2 linked regions of the Lonchura striata genome follow. The protein of the gene in region 2 purifies or fractionates together with the protein of the main gene of each other region. This does not show direct contact. Links are inferred from orthologs where the notes say so. Each region holds a gene or a part of one and is shown on either strand. Other genes may lie near its edges.

Region 1 (9,949 bases), on a different chromosome or scaffold from region 2:
GGGAGAGCACTGGCACTTCTAAACTCCTGGGAGGCAACAGCTGTCTGGTGAGTGTCCAGCAGAGCGCTACACGGCACGGGGGACCTCACACGCTGAAATGGTAACAACCTATGTTCCACTTAGTGTGTTCAATTGACAACCTGAAATAAAAGTCATTCGTGGGAGTAAAGACAGAGAAGGGGTGGGAGGAAACCAGCTCTGCTTCTAGACAAGGCTGTGTAAATTACAAGGTCTTAATTACATTAAGTGCATTATGGTACCATATGCACATCACTAATAAGGCAGAGATGGAGGAAATGGGACTAAATGCTAAAACTGGAAGTTGAATGCCTGCATTCTAGACTTCATCTTTTAGAGAGATTCTGAACCACTTTGTCCTAGTTTAGCCATCCATAAAACAAAGGCAATAATCCTTTCTTCACAGGGGCGTTGAGAGGTTTAATTAATTAATGTTTACAAAGTCCACTGAGATTTCTGACTGACATTTGAAGTAATTCAGAATACTTTCTAAATGCATTTGTTTCTTCTACTGTACCACTCAAATGTCTTCATATTAAAATATCCAAAGAAGAAGATGGAAACAAAAAATATGGAGATACACACACAAACTAGTGGGGGGAAAAAAGCATCAACAACTTCAGCACTTTGAATCCACTGTTGTCCCATCAAAGCTGTCAGAATACTGCCATTTCTACAGATGAAGAAGCATGTGCTTGTCCAAACACCTGCTACCTTTACCTTGCAGATCTGTTAAACTTAGATCTCAGATATTTTTGTCTGTAGCACCGTAAACAACAAGCTAATAAATGGCAGAAATAACAGACAGTCATGTCAGGTAAACTGGTGCACCAGAGGAAGTGAAGGGGAGAAGAGCAGAGGGAAGAAAGCACCAAAAGAGAACCAGAAAGTGACAGAGAAAAGGCAAGTTGAGTAGGGAGAAACCAATCATTAATAAGGGACTCCACACACTGAGCTGTTCTATGAAATGCATTCCCATAGATGCTCAGGTACTGGAATACATTATTCAGAGAGAGTAGTGTAGCATGAACAAGGCCACATGTGTGTCCAAGTGCCAGAGACAAACTGAATATTAGACACTCCTAAATGCACAAGCATACACAAGGAGCTGCTTGATACCTGAGCCAGGATTTCTCAGTCCCTACATTGTCCCCCATTTCGGAGCAAAACCTTTGTGTGGCCGGTTTCTGTAGGGGGCGTTTGTGGGTTCTGAGATACAATCAAAACGCAGACAGAGGAAATGCAAATGTCATTCAGCTCCCGTTCATTGTCAGGAAGGACACATGAGGATAAAACAATGTGGACTGCATCCCTCCCCTATTATGTGTCCTACTGCTTTTGTCCTAATTTATCCCATGCATAATTTATTTACATGTGTATTGTTTCCCGATCAGCAACTTTAAAGAATAAGTGAAAATTATAAAATGTTTTATTAAACAAGTTGTCAACAAAATTACAGATGGTGTCAGACAGCCAGTACCAATTCTACTTCCTCCACATAGCCTTAGTACTTTAAAAGGCACACAGAGAAAAGCGAAACCAGCACTTGATGTCTATTGTTTCCTCCTCTCACACCCCCCAGGGGCGAGGGGAGGAGAAGGGAGCTAATTATAAATGGCCTCATCCTGTCCTCCCAGACTTCAGCAGCAGCGGGATCGGGCCCCGATTCATTTCGGCACAAGCGGCCCTTCGGCAGGGAGCGCCGCGGCTGCCGGGAGCCCCACGGTGCCACGAAGTGCGGTGCGAGGCGGCAAGGTCCCGTCCGCCGGCGGGGCGGGGGCCGGGGCCGCCAGCCGTGCTCCCGTGGCCGCTCCCGGGAGCTCCCCGCCTCCCTCTCGCCGTCCCCAGGGGCCACCGAGCCCGGGCTTCCCCGCTACCGGCAGCAGCCGCGAACGGCGCACGCATCCGCGGTGCTCCGTGCCCAGGTGCAAAGCCGGGCGGTGCGGCCCCGGGGTGCTCTGCCCGCGGCCGGCGGCCGGGAGGGGCGCGGGGAGAAATCGCTGTCGCCTGCACAAGCGTAAACCTGCCGTCGAACGCGGGGGGAGAAACGCTGCCTCTGCCGCGCGGTTTTCAGAGCGCGTTCAGTCCCTCGGCACCCACCCATGAGGACACTCGGACTGCTTCGATTAACCCCCTGCAACTGCGCTCCCCTCTCCCCGCGGATTTTTATATCCGAGAGGGCGAGTAAATGAAAGCAAAGGTTTTTCTGCCAGGACGGAGCAGGAAAGCTGATAAACATGTCAGCACCCCTTCCCAGCTCGAGGCTTTCCTTTCCCTCTGGATCGCAGAGACACAGCGGCAGAAATCCCTGGAAAAACCTTCAAGTGTTTTTCCAACTCCAGGCGGAGAGACTCGAGCCGGGAAAGAAAAAAAGAAAAAAAAAAAGAAAAAAAAAAAAAAAAGAAAAAGAAAAAACCTCGCAGCCCTAATTTCATCTCACAAAACTCAAAGGTATAAAAACACCCACTCAGCGCAGCCAGAAAGTGCAAGCGAAGCGTCACCGCCAGGTACTCTGCTTCCCTGCTTCACTAGGAAGAGCGCTGCCCCCGTTAGCAGGGAAGTCGTTTGAAAAAGGTTAAGATAGCTCCGCTCCCCACATACGGTGCCAAATCCCACTCTCCCTAATGCCTTCGGGGATTAGCGGCGTGCGCTGCAGACCACAAGGAAAATAAAGGACGCGATCCAGAAGACGACAACCGGCTCCCGCGGTGCCCCTCAGAAATCAGCCCTAGTTCCAGACCGGGAGCCCCGGAATACCTCCGCAGCAGAAGTACCTGCCCCCTCCCTCTCTCAAGCTGGGGTCAGACCCCGTCCGTACAGCCCTCGGCGGCTTGTGCCCGCTCTCAAGATGGAAACACAATCAACTCTCTTTGCCACTTTGAAAAGCGAAAGCCTGTCATATGCAAAACAGATCTCCGGACTTCCTGCCCAAAATCAGCGACCGGCAGTCCCGAGTCATTCATTTCACCCAAGTCTGCTTCCCTGCCTCGCCTCTCCGCTCCCTCTCCTGCACGGGCGCCGAGGCGCACCGGCAAAGCCCCCGCCGCCCCGCTTTCCGACCGCCCAGCCGAGAAGCGAGGGGGGTCGCTTCGTCAAGACATCCCAACTCCCCAAAGATTTCCCGAGGCAACTCCGAGCCGCGGTGGGAGCGCGGAGGCACCGCGCACCGAGCGCCCCCGCGGGCCGGTCGGTGCCCCGCCGAGCGCGGTGGCGGGGCCAGCCCGCCGGGGCAGCGGGGGCAGGACGCTGTCAAGTGCGCGCACCCCCGCGGGACGCGGCCGCCGCCGACCCCGCGCTGAGCTCCGGGAGCGCCGGGCGGGCTCCCCGCCGCCGCCCCCCGGCCCGACGCCCCCCGCCCCGCGCCCGGTCGCCAATTAACCCAACAATTTTTTCCTCGTTAATTTCGGCGCGAGCCGCGGGGATGTGTTGCACAAAAAAACGAGCGAGCCGCTGAGGCAGAAAGGAGGGCGGTAGGAGGGACCCGCCGAGAGGCTGCCGGCACCCGGCTCCGGCTGGCAGCCGGCGCCGGAAAGGCGCCTTTTTTCATATTTAAACCACGCGGAATATGTACATTTTTGATTCCTACTTACGCTTTCAGGGGGTTGTGAATGACAGTCGCCATTTTGCTACAATGTAACAGAATATTGTGTCTCGGAGTTCTAAAGGTTCGCTCAGGGGAAGCGGCCAGCCAATGGCAGCGCGGCATACCGGCCCGCCAGCCAATGGCGCGGCGGGGGCGGGGCCGGGCGCTGCTAGTTATTAGGGGAGCTGTCAAAGCCCAGAGGTCACTCCCTCTCCCTGGAACTGGCGGCGAGCAGGTCTTAAAGGGGCAGCGCCGCCGCCGAGGCCGCCGCTGCGCCGGGGGCACCCCGGGCTCCAGCGAGGCACTTCCCCGCCGCGCTCCGGCCCCGGCTCGAACGCGCCGCGCCGGGAGAGGGGAAGCCGGGCTCGTTCCTCGTCCCCTCGCACCGCCGCCGCTAGCCCCCGGTTTCCCAGGCGGCTTGCCCCGCTGGGGGAACGAGCCCGCGCTGCCCGCTCGCTCCGCACGCTGCCCGGCAGCGTCCCTCCCGCGCCGCTTCCCTTTCTGCGCGGCCGCGCTCCCCGCAGGTCTCCGTGAGCCGCCGGTTCTGGCAGCGGCTTCAGGGCAGCGCCGCTCCCGCTCCCCCTCCCCCAGGAATTTCCCTCTCCCTGTCAGTCATCCCGGCCCGCAGCCCCTGCGCCCTTACATAACACGCGGCGGCCGGACCGCCCGGCCGGCCCTGCACAGCCCCGCAACTTTCTCCCACAGAGCAACTTCTGGCGCGCCGGGAGCCGGGCCCCGTCTCCGTCCGACACAGGGAGCCGCGAGGGGAAGAGCCCTGACCCGCGTCCCACCGGACATGCAGCCCGGCGGTGAGACAGAAGGCGGAGGCTGGACCCCGGAGCGCGGCAGGGAGCAGCACGCAGAGCCCATTCCTAGGGAGGCGGCGAACTCCAGGAAGCCTGGGTTTACCTGCAACTAATTAAAGGAACTTGCGAATGAATTATGGAGCACGACCCAAGTGATTTAAGAGGTGTCAATCCTGATCTCACTCTCAGATACTGATCTCACTCTCAGAAGTAAACTCACTGAAGTTCACGAAATTGCTCCAGTGTAAATTAGGTGCCAACAAGAGCAGAATCAAACAAGTTTTTTACTTGTCTGATAGCAATGTCAACTTTGTCATCTCATACTTTTCTTCCACTCCCAAAAGCCTCGTTTCCCTTCAGGCATCCTCCATCCTTCTAAAAAACACAAAGAAGCACCACCAAAATCAAGCCTACATCGCCATTCTTTGCATCTATACATTCAGAAGAAACTCAACTAAAGACAATTAAAAGACACTACTGTCAAAGCAGAGGGAAAAGTGAGAAAAACTAGAAAAACATTTTCATTCCCAACTTAATGAATAACAGAATGAAAATAGTGATGTTTGTAAGACATTACCAGAAGTAGAAATAGCAATCTTCCTGGACTGAACTTGAAAAAGTAAAGACAACCAAAATCTCTCTTGCTCAACTACTTTACAAATAAAACTTTCCAATACTAGGGCAAAAGAGAAAAGGAAGAGGAATGGAGAACAGAAAGAGTATGACTGTTACTCACAGTGAAGACAGGTACATAAGTATAATGCAGCGGTTTTCTGTTCATTAAGGATTCATCAGAAGTTTGCAAGAAGTTAAAATTTAGGATCTGTCTAGTGTCCCTCTTTCTGAAACTTTACTTATTCCCGCTACTAGGTCAACTTAGGTACTGTGCCAGGCGTATATCCCTGGAGGGAAGTATCTCTTCCATCAAAGCAATCTAAGCCATTTGGTTACAGGCACTGCTTAGGAGAAATAAGCTTTCTGTCAGCTGGAGAGTTTCCAAGATGCTGAGATCTATCCCAAAACAGTTCTGGGAAGTAATCTTTAAGAACATTTCCATTATCATATTACATTATATTATTTAATATATAGTGGTCCAGGTGACATTGAATGCAACGTCAGACCCTCCCTGCATAGTACCTCTCACTGCTCACAGGAAAAGCTAACCACAAACTGCCAACTTGTCACAAGCACACAGTTGATGTGTGTGCTGCAAAGAAATAAATGGCAAATGGCATAGCATGCACCTGAACTGGTGACCACAGACTAGCAACCTACACCCCATCTCACTAATACGAGGATTTCTGGTTTGACTTTTCTTGTTGCTGTGATATTTGCTTGATGGCAAACACTTGAGTACTTCCTGTAGGATGGGCAATATTCACTTGTGGGATAATGATTTTGCTTCACATATAAGAAAAAAACAGCCTAGGACCATATCACACTGCAGAACAGGAGATAGATTTGTGTTACTGAGAGAAGGTACGAAAATCTGACCAAGCTCTAGAAAGCCCTGAGATTTTCTAATGCAAACTCGTGACATTTTCAAATAATTAAGAAACCCTGTTTGAGGTCATGTTTAGAAGTTTAATGAGTCCCTCTGGTCCTATATTGTTGGATATATAGGCCCATTCCTGCTCTGCAGGCCATGAGCTCTTGGTACAGCTTGGCAGGGAGTGTATTGCAAAAACGGGATGAAGCCATACAGGCTTCCCTGGCTGCTCCTGTTATTCAGACGTTGGGCTTTTATCAGCTACCAGCAAAAGCAACAAACAGTGAGAACAGGCACAGATGACCTTGGATTGTTGATAGCCCTTTTCCCAGGCAGACCCCACATTCCTGGCTAAGAGAGCCAGTCAACAGCACTGCCTCACTCAAAGGAATCTCCAGGACACCCAAGGACAGAGCTGCCATATCAGAGCAGTGGGAAGTCTCACCTGCAGTAATGAAGAGATCAGGCTTTGCTCACACGTCCATATAATTTGCCCACAGTGTTTTTCATGCAGAATCCCACAACAGTTAGGTTACCATTTTAGCTGAAAGAAAAAGCACAGAGCACTGATGGGCATTTTGCTTGTAATGAACTACAGAACTTGTTTACATGTTCACTGTTTGCAAGCAGGGGGAACATCACAAACCTGTATTAATAAAAATTTCATGCCACATCATAGTTACCTGCATTTTTACATATACACCAGTCCATCATTGGTAGGTTATTAGATTAATTTTTCTTCTGATTTTAATGTACCATAAGTCACTAATCAGTAATGCTACTGTTGTTTTACATCCTGAAAGACCAACAAAGTTGAGACACACTCAGTTACGTATACACTAAATCACAACTTCAGGATTTTTACATTTGTACTTAGTTACTGTTAGTTTTATTCACACTCACCTGAAACATAGCAAGGAGGCTGCAAGAAAGTATAAATAATTTAAAAGTATATGGCATAAAAAGCCCTGGGTGGGCATATTCTTAACGAGAGCTTGCCAAATGTTTGGACAGCCAGCACATAAATTTTGAAAAAGGTAAGTTTTGACACAAATCTATTGGGGTAACATCTGTAGCATTAACACAAGGCCTGAGCATGCTGCATCTATAGGGTCAGAGTGAGCAGGGCTTTAGAAGGGAGTCCACCACCTCACCTCCAGCCCCTCATACAGAACTGTAGCTTGTCTCTACTCAAGAAGAAGAAACACAGTGTCATATCTTCTCAGTGTATTGGTAAGTGTGATGCCTCTGTTTCAAACATTTTTACTATTTACATAACCCTGAAAAGCTTTATTTTAGCTGACAATATTTCAAACTTTGAAAGAATTTTTACCTTGTACTTATTATCTTCTGCTTTCTGTTTTATCTTGTTAAGTTTTAACGTAGAGTTGCTGCTTTCTGGAGGGAAAGAAAGTTAGGTTCTTATCGTATATTCCTCAACTCTTGTGAATTGGAAAGTGAAACAAACTAGACACCAACATTAAAAGCCACAAATCTAATTTTGCTGTGGAAGGAAACAAAGAACAGAGCTGAAAAAAAGTGGTTTCTGGTAGATTAGCAACTGTTAAATATTCTCAGGTATTTCTAGTGATTTATAATTTTCTTTTGTTAATATATATTAATATTCAAAGTATCAGAATCATATAGGTCTAAATAAGATAGTGTGCTATAATGTAGCTTGTTACAGCAAAACAGGGCCCCACATGCACAGATATCCTGCAAGAGATTTGAAGCCTTAACCCCTTTTTATTTATTAAAGCTGTGCAGGCATCTCTCATACACTGTTTCTTGTCAGCCCTCCTCCTCCCTTTCTTTGATCTTTACCAATAGTTGCTTAGCTGAAAAAGGAGGAAAAGATATCAGAGTGTCAGTGTTACAGACTCAACACCAGCCTTCTACAGACACATTCCCAAAAAAATTACATAGTCAGCATAACAAAGATAACTATGGAGCTATACTGTGTAAAAACTGGCACCAACAATTCATTCTTCACAACTTTGGGAATTGTATCCATGAAAGGGACCTCAAATTTTTAGCTTTTTTCTTAAGCAAAATTTCCCCTCTAAACTTATAGCAACAAATCTTGGACATCTTTAGTGTATCTTGATTTCAGGCCTGATTCTGTTATCCAGTTTTCTTTATTGTATGCACTGTTCAGTTTTTAATTACTTGCATGCTGATGTCTGGACTCAAACCCACTATTTTTTAATGGGATATTCTGATAAAATACATTTTAACACTAAAGAGGAGTCTCTAGTAGTAAGATGTACATGGAGGCCTCAATCTGAAGCTTTCAAAAATTTGGGGAGACAGAAGTTCCCAGAGCCTGGCTCAAGTCTGTCCCTAGTTTAATAAACTATTCAAAATCTGTTTAGTGTGGCTGCCAGAAGAGTCTTTGTCATGCATTGTTTTTAAATTTCCCCAACAATAGAAAATAATGTTATGAACAAGCTGCTTCAAAAGGACAGTACAAGTCTTTCTGGTAGCCACTGCAAACCCACAGTAACAGTAGGAAAAGGAACCTAATAAAACAGACACATCCTCTGAAGAACACACATTCAGCAACTATGGTTGCCCTGTCCTTCAGGGGAGTCATTGGTAAAATTTAGATGGGACAAAACTGAATTCCCATCAAAAAGCACATGATAGAAAGCACCTAAGAACAACTTGTCAAAGTTTATTATGAAATTTCAACAGAGACACAGGTCTGTCTGCCTTATTTCTTGAGAAACTAGTTTGGGAAAAATAAAAAACAAAAGGAAAAAATAATACAGGAAAATAAAATAATAAAGAAAAAAAAGAATAAATTAAAAATTAAAGAAAAAAGAAAAGGTGAACACTTTGGGAGTCCTTTTCAGTCTTTCCTTCATTAAAGATAGGAAAAATTTTTTTTACATTACATCCATCTACAGAGGTGGTACCTTGATGCATCTGAAATATTGCTGTCTCCATCCTCTTATTCCCAGTACAAAGGTGAACGTGATTTTCAAAGGTGACTTAATCTTTGGAGGGAGCAGGTGGTATAGACTAGGGAACAATCAATAGACGATCTGTCTGCTCCTAGAAAAGTTCCTCATTGCTACTCTGAATGGAGTTCAGGGATACTGTCTGCCTATGATTTCAACCACCTTTAAACAAAAACTTCAAATGTGGTCCCAAAGGTGGTGCAACAAGACTTCCTCTTGCCCATGATGAGAAAACAGAATGTAATATCCAGCTAATCAACCTTATCTCTTATAAGCCCAGAGCACATGATATAATTATGATTCTAAGACAGGTTTAACATTTGGATTGAGCATAATGGATAGCACCCTACCTGAGAAAATTAACAGCTGAAAAAAACAAACTGCCACACTCATCCAAAGAAAGTGCTAACTTTGAATCTGCTGCTGATTTGAACTTTCCTTCCTTACTGATGACACCACCTCATAGAAAGGAATGAATATTTTGCTGTGATTATCTGCTTACTCCACTATGATGATTTTTTTAATAGAGTAGGCAGAAGTGAGCTGTCCAGACAGTTTAAATGTAATGACTGCAATTGTTTTCTTTCAGTATTCAAGCTTTCTTGTTTACAAAGTGAATTTTGGTCTTTGGAACAAACACTATGATAAGTAGGCTGCTTTTGTAGCACGTGCAGGAGTTATACAGCTAACAACAAAACCAGTCTTTTTAACTACATGGAAAATTAGATTCAGCATGAAAATATCTCACCTGGTAATGTTTTTTTTTTTTAGTTCAACATTATTTGTGAAACGCTTTTAATTTCAAGGGGTTTTTAAAATAATTTTCATAACACCTTTAATGTGTTCACCCCCTCTTTTTACAAAAGAATTATAGTATTGCATTCTTTATTTTTTTTCTTTCCTTGTATTTTGTTGCATTATTTCCAAAACAATCTGTAACTTAAAATATTTTTCACTTTGTAAAAATTTAAAGTAAGAAAAAGAAACTCTGATGGGGTGGTTGCACTGAAAAGAAAAACATCCACACAAACAGCAGTTTAGAATTAGTGAGGGGGTAAGAAGGCACTAGTTCATTTTATTGCATCGA
Region 2 (9,553 bases):
CCTGCACAGCAAACATTTCCTGATGCCAAGTGCAAACAGCTCTCTAAAGTAAACCAGACCAAGATTCCAAGCCTGATGGTGACACAAAACGTGTCACTAGGTCTGTAGGATGAGTTGTGAGCACACCCTTACAGCTCTGATCCCCACACTGCCGCATTTCACCCACAGAGCCTCTGGAACAGGACCTGAGGTTCTCCTCTCTCAGAGGAGGAGGAGGATCCCATTGGGATTCCCCCTTTTGCACAGAACCATGGCTCTGAGCTGCACGGCACCACGGCTTGAAAATGCTACTGAGGCAACCCAGCACCTCCTGGAAAGCCAGGAACAGGGATTTGAACCTTGCCACGCTGCATCTGGCCTGGAAGAACATCAGTGCTCCATGCTACCTGCTCGGCTCTTATAAGCACATTCCCACTGTCACCAGGGGATCAATGCCCTCATTAATGGCAGGGCTCAGGTGACACAAAGATCTTCTGTTTGTCAGGCTAAGCCGGTTCCCAGCTCTAAGGAGCTTTGTTTCTGCAGATGAGAGGTACTGAGCCAGGTCAGGATTGGCCCAGCTGCCAAGTAAATAAGCCCTGCAAGAATCCAAAGTGACTGCAGACCAAGCACTAAGCCTGAAACAGTGAGTTCTGCCAAACCTGAGCCAAGTGAGACATACGTGCACAAGAGACTCATTTGAGAAGGGCCATACAGACACACTTCAGTTCTGGCCAGGGCCAGCTCATCCCAGAAAACCAATTACCTCAGAACCAGTTCCAGGCAAGTATTGCTGTCCATTGCTGATCAAATCTGGCTCTGTGATTCCTTACTCTGCCTGATCTGAACAATGAAAGGGTCTGGAGGCCTCTAATTGTGTTTCCCAGGAACCACTTACAGAACAGAACTATAAAATAGTTCTGTTATTACATGGTTTCCCCCCTATTCTCCAGCATATCCTAGTCACTATCACTCCAGACAGTCAGATGGAAGCTCAGCATGATCTCTGAAATTGAGTCAAGCCATCCATTGGTGAGGGAAAGTTGACTGTGCATTAATGGCAAGCACCATCACCCTTTCTTTCAATCATGTTCTAGAATGAGAGTGAGTCATGGCTCTTTTGCAGAACTAGTTAAACACACCAGCTCCAAAAGAAGATTCTGGAACATATAGCCTCAGGACTGCCTTACTGGAGTCACAGAGAGATTTCAGACACATCTCCGTTCCTCAGAATTTTCCATTGTTAAGAATCAAACAGCCTCTACGGTTCTTATCCAGGTTTAAGGTGTGTCTGTCTTTAGAATATTTTATATGAAACAGAATTAAATGCTTGGACTTCAGTCTGAGATAAGAACCTAAAAGTCATTGTGCCAGTGTTGAGGCTCCTTAGTGAGGCTCAGCATTTAATTTCTGTTCTTGCTCATTTTCTGCAGAAGGAGAATGATACTCAGCATCCCTGTGAGGAACGGAAGTATTTAAATTGACAAAGTACCCAAGTAGTTTAGCAAATAAAGTGGAAAATTGAGAGGTCATACAAAGTTATTGAGTGAATAAATATTAATGAGTATTTTGCTTTTTCATCTACAGATGTTTTCCTAGTTCACATAAACATTTAAGACCTCATCTGAAAGCAGGAAAAATAAAACCTTTAACATGCATTTTGCAATCCAGAAACAAGGAGGAACCCAGACATGCTGAATAAGCCATTGTCCCAGCCAGTCTGCTGGCACTGCAGCCTGGGAGAGTGGCTGGCAGTTGGATGGCACAGCTCAAAAGCAACAGGCCACCAGCCACCCCAACGGGGAAGTGCTGCTTGTTGAGAAACAAAAAATCATTCTGTTCAGTTTTGGCTTGACATGTACATTACTTTCCACATTGCTTTATGTTATCAAAAAGGTGAATGAACTTGCTTGAAACAATGAAGTCTTAAAAATCTTAAAGCAATAATTAGGAAACTTCTGTTTCTCCAGATTATCACTGATGGAATTATTTTTTGCCTATGAGTTAGCATCATAATTTGATGTCTTGGTTCATGCCTCACTTTTAAATGATTCTTCTCTTTATTCCCATGGACAATTTATGCCAGTGTTTGGTTCTATAATTATTACATAAATGTCACATACAGTAAATCAATATGTAATATTCCCATGAGAAGCACATGGTTTGTGTCACACTGGCATCCACAACTCCTGCCAAGATATTATGGCTATTTGTACCAATATAGGAACCTAGATAAAATACAGTTATTGTTCCTATCTACCCTGATTTTATAATCCTTGCTTCTGATGAAACAAAGCAAAAATTATCAAAAGATCCACAAATATTTGGGTTCATTGAGGAAAGGGGTAGCAAAACTACAGATTTCACCTGCTTTTATGCAAACATAGGATGATGTGCATGAGTTCACGGAAATAATCTGAAATTTGCTAGTCTGTAAATCAGGCTCGACCCTGCTGAAAACAGATGCCTCAAATCTATTTCTCTTGTGCACGGAACAGTGTAGAGTTATCCACCTGCTGCAAAGCAAAGTCACTGTAGAACCCTGTCAAACCACAGCAACATGATGCTCTGCACACTTTCCACTGATGGAAACACCCGGAACAGTACAAGGAAGACAAAAGTAGGATCCAGAGAGTTGTCAGTCTACATTTCCTTCCCCTTATACTCCAGACTTCTTGTGAATTGCATGGATTTGACTTTGTTCCTTATAGCTATCAAATCCTTAGACTTCTGGATACAACATGATTTCTAGGGCATGTTCTTGTGTTGAATAGTGAAGAAAAATAAAGCAGCAGAATGCTGTGTTGGTCCCTGTCTTGCAGGTCAGTCACAAGCAGCGGTTGTGCAGAGAGCAGGGTCTGGCTTAAAGTGTCTTTTATCACTTGAGTTCAAAGGATCATCACTGCAAAATAAAGTACAAGAAGGAGCTAAATGAAGAACCTCTGGCATGGTAATTCCAAATTTTCTGAACTGCTTTTCCCATCTGCAATTAATTCCTCCTCCTCAAAGAACCATGCCTTGAGTATTAGTGCCACATACTGGAAATCATGATAACATACTCGAAAATATTTCATAACACAAAATGAAGGTGCACTGGCTTTATGAAACAGCAGGATTTATCTTTATAATGCTAGAATCTATATGTTGTAGTGATATTGTACTATAAATTATAAAATAATTTCTTAATTGCATGATAAAATTATGACTTTGCTCTTTAAAGAAATAGACTCAAATTGTGTGTCAAATTAAGTTCCTTGCCCTTGAAAGTTAGTAAATAAAATAATCTCCTTGTACTGTTTAAAAAGCCCAACTCAAGTGGTTGTCCCTTGAAACTGTTGGATTTTACTACTTTTCCTATGTTTTGACACCCTCTCCCTTAAACAGGGATTGCTGTCTACCAGCCCAATGTTAACTGCAGCAATTTAGGAGCTGCAGTACAAACACACACATCTAGGCTGCTTTTACTCTTCACCAGCATAAAGTTTGCTGACATTTGTAGTAATTCATTCAATTCTCAACAGCTTTACTATTAAGCTGGCTAAATCGAATCACTTGAAGATTCTTGCTACGGCATTACAAAAATAAGCTACCTATCTTAGGTAAACTTTAAAAGAACACACAGCTTCCCATTCCATCCAAAAAAACCCACCTCACATAAAAATTCAAAAAGGTGTACACCAGGAACACTTGCCCTTTAAGCCAATTCCCTTGTTCTCCAGTTAAAATATTAGTCTTCTCTAATGCTAACTGTTGAGGTTTTTCTTTTGTTTTCTTTAATTCCAACAGCTTTATAGTTACCCATCTCTGGCTGTCCTGGCTGAACACCAGGTTTGGCTGAACGCTCTGACACCAAACAAGGCGATGTGAAATCCTAACTAGAAATCCAGCTGTAAAACTGGCAGCTGAACTGCCCAGCTCTGCAGACAAACCAGCCTCGGGGACCAAGGGCTCTGCCCCAAGCAAGAAGGGAACCACACGAGGCAGGCCCATTAAGATAGACTTCAAAAGCTTTATTCTCAGTGGAAGAGCCCAACAGAGCAGTGATAGCAGCAGGGGAATCACAGAATGTTACGTTGCAAAAGATCTCTGAGATCATCAAGACTACCTGTGCCTGGCACAGTTTGAGATTATAGCCTGTTGTCCTGTTGCTGGCTGCCCAGAAGAGGCTGATCCCACCTGGTTACAGCCTCCTGCCAGGTGGAGCTGGGGAGGGCCCAGGAGCAGCGGCTCCTTTCCAGTCCCGATGCTCTGGAGTCATCCCGCTCCTCATGTGGCAGCGAGCTCACCCTGCGAGCCCTCAGGATTCACAAGCCTCCTCTCCCGAGTCCAGCCAAGCCGGCAGCCTTCCCCATGTCCAGCTCTGGGCTCCTCAGTACAAGAGGAGGAGCTGCTCCAGCCGAGGACGATGAAGGGACTGCAGTGTTTCGTGAGAAGCTGAGCAAGCAGAGCCTCTCCAGCCTCGGAAGGTGACCTCAAAGTCACCAGGGAGGTGTCAGAGGATGGATCAGGCCCTTCTCAGGTGGTGCTGAGCAGCAGAACAAGAGACAAGGGGCAGAAACTGGTGTAGAGGAAGTTCCACCAGAACGTGAGAAAACTTTGCTGTGCAATGACCGCTCACTAGAAATGACTGCCCATAGGAGATGAGGAGTCGCCCTTACTGGAGATACCCCAGAACTCTCTGGGCGCAATCCTGTGCCACGTGCTCGGGGACGACCCTGCCGGCGCCGGCAAGTGCGACCAGAGGATCCAGCGCGGTCCCCTCCTGCCCGAAGCGTCCCGTGACTGCCCGCACGGTCCCCAGCGCACCTGCCCCGCTCCGCTCGCCCCGCCCGCCCCTGCCCTCTGCCCATCCCCGCCCGCCGCTCCCCTCACACCGCCCCCCGCCCGCACTCCCTCGCCTGCCCGCCCTTCGCGTCCGGCTCCAGGATTGGTTGTCCGCGGCAAGGTCCCGCCCCCCGCCGCCCGGGATTGGCCGGTTCTGCCCGCGCGGCGCTGCTATTGGCGGGCGGGCGACGGCGCTGCGGGTCGGGCCGGGCCGCGGGCGGGGAGCGTGGCCGGGGCGCTTTTGTTGCTGGGTCGGCGGCGAGAGGAGCGGGCGGGGAGCGCGGGCCCCGCGGACACCGGGGCAGGCGGGGAGCGGGGCCGGGCGGCGCGGGCACGGCGGACGGCGGGGCCGGGCCCAGCGGCAGCCATGAGCGGCGGCGTGTACGGGGGAGGTGAGTCCGGCGCCGCCCTCCCCTCCCCCGCCCCGCGAGGCGGCGCGTGCGGCCGCGGCGGGCGCTTCCCGCCTCCCTCAGCCCGGCCCGGCGCTGCCGCGGCCGCTCCGCGCCCCACGCGTGACGGGCAGGCGGCGGCGGCGGCGGGCCTTGTTGGTTCCTCGGCGCCCCCGGGCTGCCTCCCCGGCGCGGCCTTGGGCAGGACCCGCTCTGCCGAGGGCCGGGGAAGGTCCCCGCTCTCTGGGAGCCGGGTGTGGTTCCCCGAGCCCCTCTGCGCACCCCCCGTGGCCACCGCTCGTTTCCGACAGCTTTCCTGTAGGATGTGCGTAGATCAGCGGCGATCGGGCCCGTAGGAATGGGCGCTTATGCCCTGAGCCCTTCCCTCACACAGTTGATGTTTGCACCACCTTCCTCATCCTCATCACCCACAGGGGCTCTGGGCTCACCTGGCTTCGTGTGACTGCTAAATTAGAACTTTCTGAAAGCTTTATCTTGCCATCCGTTAAGCTGCTACTACGTTCTCTCTCTTGTACTAAAATTTTCTTCTAACACCAAACAGGGATTGCAATGCACCAGTTAAAGCCTGTCTGCAGTTTTCCAATAGCTCTCTGGTCGCGGGAGCTCTGAATAGAAAAGTTTGTCCTTGCTTTGTAAAAGATCTCTTGATTTGCTTGTCTTGTTTGCCAGTAAAGCAGGTGGTGGGCAGGGAAAGGTCAGGGTTGCAGAAGAGCATAACCATTCTTTCTTAACAATCTTTTCAGATGAAGTCGGGGCACTGGTTTTTGACATTGGCTCGTACACAGTGAGAGCAGGCTATGCAGGCGAGGACTGCCCGAAGGTGAGAGAATCTGTGCCTCGATGGAAATTGAACATGAATTTATGCCTTAGGTCTTCTTTGTGAGTTACAGCCCTTCTGAACACACTGGGGCTTGTTCTGACTGTATTGTATAAAGAAACTTCGGAATTTGTGAGAAAAACAACAATTTCCAAAACATTACTAGTCCTTATGTACTGCTTGCCTCTTGCCTTGCAGGTGGATTTTCCAACAGCCATTGGTGTGGTGCTAGAAAGGGACAATGGCAGCACTCTGATGGAGATAGATGGTGACAAAGGCAAACAAGGGGGCCCAACTTACTACATAGACACTAATGCCTTGAGAGTTCCAAGGGAGAATATGGAAGCCATTTCACCTTTAAAAAATGGAATGAGTATGGTGCTCTTGTCTTTTTCTACCTGATTTTAAAATAGCATTGCTAGGAAGTTATAGTTGTGTTGGCAGCTGTTATGTACAGCAACAGAGGCCATAGGAACAGATTCCTGGTTTACAAATTGCAGGGAGATGTGGTTGGTTTTCAGTGTTAGTGGGCTTTCAGCATAATTGTTGAAGTTGTGGTGGTTGTGGAGGAAGAGAATTCTGCAGATCTGTTAAAGGAGATGTGTATCTGCTGAGGACAGCTTTTGACTGAAGAACTCTATGCAAAAAACTAAATTGGAAAGCCTTTGTGTTTATGAAATGAAACAAAACTTAGGAGTAACTAACCTGTTTGTCTCAATGTTGTTATAGTTGAAGACTGGGATAGTTTCCAGGCAATTTTGGATCACACTTACAAGATGCATATTAAATCTGAAGCAAGTTTGCATCCTGTCCTTATGTCTGAAGCACCAGTGAGTAAAACCAATTGTGCATTATGATAAGTCTTTTTGCTAACTCTGCAAACATTAGTCCTGGATAAGTCTGACAATGGCTTGTAGGTGACAAGTGCTAAAATGTAGCTACAGAAATGACAGTTTTAAAATACTTGGACAGCTTCTGGAAAATGTCTAAAAAACCCTCATTTTGAAATAGTTTGTATGAGTTGTATTAGAAAGTATTTACAATATGCTATTGTTTTTCACTTACTGAAAAGAAGCCAAAAATTAAAAAAAGAAATTTTACTGCCTAGAATAAAGAGAAAAAAGATGTTTGGATATCTTTTATATTAAGTTACACTTAATAAAGTGCCATCAAAAATCTTGCTTCATTCAGCTTTACAAGTAGTATTAAATGACACAGAACAATATTTATAATAGAGAAGTTTTAATTTTTCTGTCTTTGTTTCTGTAAGTGGTCCTGTAAGGCAGCTGAAGTGGATGAAAACAAAGTTTAAAATGCTCAGCATTTGAAGGCAGATCTTGAAAGTCAGAGTAGAAGAGGTAGACATGCCATAGACAAGTGATGCCTTTCTGTAATAAGACCTTATGAATATTATTTTCTTGAATTTCATAGTTTCCTTGTGTTGAACCACAGCTTTTGGAGTGTGGATGAATTTGCAGTGGCTGTTTGATGGCTCAGTGGATGTCTGAATAGAAACATTCCCATTGAAATTCTGCTTACAAACCTCATCTTACTTTCTTGTATTGGCTTGGAAAAAAATCCACATTTTCCTTAAAGTGTTGAATATTTGAGATATATCCTGGCTTAATAACAACTACAGTAGAATCGTAGGAAGCTGCTTTGGGAACTGGAAAGTCTGGATTTATTTTTCTTCCCACTGGGCAAGTTCCTTCATGTATCTTTCCCCTTGTGGAAGGCAGGGTGCTTGCTTTAGAGAGTTCTTTGGGAACCTGACACTGGAAGAGCTGCAGAAGTGTAAAGAAATCAATTGTAACACCAGAGGTGTGCAGCACTTTTGTGTGACAGATAAGATTGATGTATTGCAGTATAAATGGAATGAAAAACGTTACTAGAAATCCATTTATGTAGAATTGTGGTATAACTTGAAACTGTGGCTGCAGGTTTTCTGCTAACTTCTTTATTGTGTTAGCAATCTATTAGTGTGCAAACGAGAGCTTCCTTTTGGTCACTTACTTGTGGTTTGGGTTTATCATTTTTAGTGGAATACCAGGGCAAAGCGTGAGAAACTGACGGAGTTGATGTTTGAGCACTACAACATCCCAGCGTTTTTCTTGTGTAAAACTGCTGTTCTGACAGCGTATCCTTTGAAATGCTTCACTGCATGCTTTTATTTTCCTCCCCCCAGGAAATTATGGTAAACTTTTTCCAGGCAATTCCAAGCTATGCCTAAGTTCCTTCAAATTTTTTTTTCAATAAATCCAGGGAGGAAGTAAACAATTGCATTTTCTAAACTTTAAGGGATTAGAGCTCATTTTTGAATTTCTCCCAATCTGACTCTGTCCTTGAGGGTCAAAGTATTTTTTTAAATTATGTTTTTTTTCCCATTGTATACTATGGATAAAAATATTACAGGTATGAAATGGCACACTACTGAATACAGTAATTAGAGCTTGATGTTTTCATAGCCTTAAGAAGAATATCTGTAATTATTTTAAACTAATAATATGTTCCCAGCTTCGAGTCTAAATGAGTTGGATGTACTTAGAGCTTGCTGCATGGCATTGGCATGAAGTCTCACCCTTGTGCCTCCAAAGCTTGAGTTAGTTCACAGATGGAAGGAAGTTAAATGCTGCTCTCTATGAGATGGGGCATTTCACAGAAAGATGGTATACACTGGAAATTCCTTTGTAGAGGAGAGGAATAACATGTTGGAGTCCTCGTTCCTAGTTAAGATTTAATTGTATGGCAGCATTTTTTTCTAAAGTGAAAATTATGGTATTTTCCTTAATCACTTTGACTAGTTTTGCTAATGGAAGATCTACAGGTCTCATCTTGGATAGTGGAGCAACACACACCACTGCTATTCCAGTGCATGATGGATATGTACTTCAGCAAGGTATAAACTTTCATGGATAACAGCACTGCTGTATCAAGGCCAAGTTAGAGTGACTTCTGCTTGTACAGTTTTGTTACTGCTTTTCCATTTGTGTATCCCCTTAAAAAGGAAAAAACACTAATAGTGTTCACTGAGAAATAATTGGGAGAGTATCCAAATGATCCATGATTTGGATACTTTCCAGGTTAGTTGTTTTGGTTTTTATTTTGGATCCCCTCTTTGCCTTCTAGGTATTGTAAAATCACCACTTGCAGGAGACTTTATCACTATGCAGTGCCGGGAATTGTTTCAGGAAATGAACGTAGAGATAATTCCTCCATATATGATTGCTTCAAAGGTGGGAAAGTGAATTTATTTAGTGAGTGTTGTCTTGGAGAGAGGCTGCAATGCTTACGTGATGACTTTGTACCCTACAATCTCAGGAGGCAGTTCGTGAGGGATCGCCAGCAAATTGGAAGAGAAAAGAGAAGTTGCCCCAAGTCACCAGGTCTTGGCACAACTACATGTGTAATGTAAGTAGGTCATTCCTCCTGCTCTCATCTCCCCTGAATGTTCCATAAATAAGATTTGTTTGCAAGTGTGTCAGTGCTTTCTCTTGAAGAACAAGAAAATATTTGAAAAGTTAGT

What was found. Proteins that work in one complex are often made in the same cells at the same time.
Region 1: the proteins of ACTL6A (region 2) and DPF3 purify together in Homo sapiens (affinity purification with mass spectrometry; 4 studies listed by BioGRID and IntAct, counting the BioPlex papers as one, with this or other methods). This does not show direct contact. The link is inferred for Lonchura striata from reciprocal best matches to the Homo sapiens genes ACTL6A and DPF3.

What each region holds. Positions count from the first base shown.
Region 1 is NC_134608.1:35,481,065-35,491,013, forward strand, and holds the start of DPF3 (zinc finger protein DPF3), read right to left. Parts: upstream 3,703-9,949; 5' UTR 3,641-3,702; coding exon 3,609-3,640; intron 1-3,608. UniProt on the Homo sapiens protein: Belongs to the neuron-specific chromatin remodeling complex (nBAF complex).
Region 2 is NC_134612.1:20,304,636-20,314,188, reverse strand, and holds the start of ACTL6A (actin-like protein 6A), read left to right. Parts: upstream 1-5,131; 5' UTR 5,132-5,170; coding exon 5,171-5,195; intron 5,196-5,956; coding exon 5,957-6,033; intron 6,034-6,228; coding exon 6,229-6,403; intron 6,404-6,759; coding exon 6,760-6,860; intron 6,861-8,069; coding exon 8,070-8,167; intron 8,168-8,831; coding exon 8,832-8,926; intron 8,927-9,156; coding exon 9,157-9,263; intron 9,264-9,348; coding exon 9,349-9,438; intron 9,439-9,553.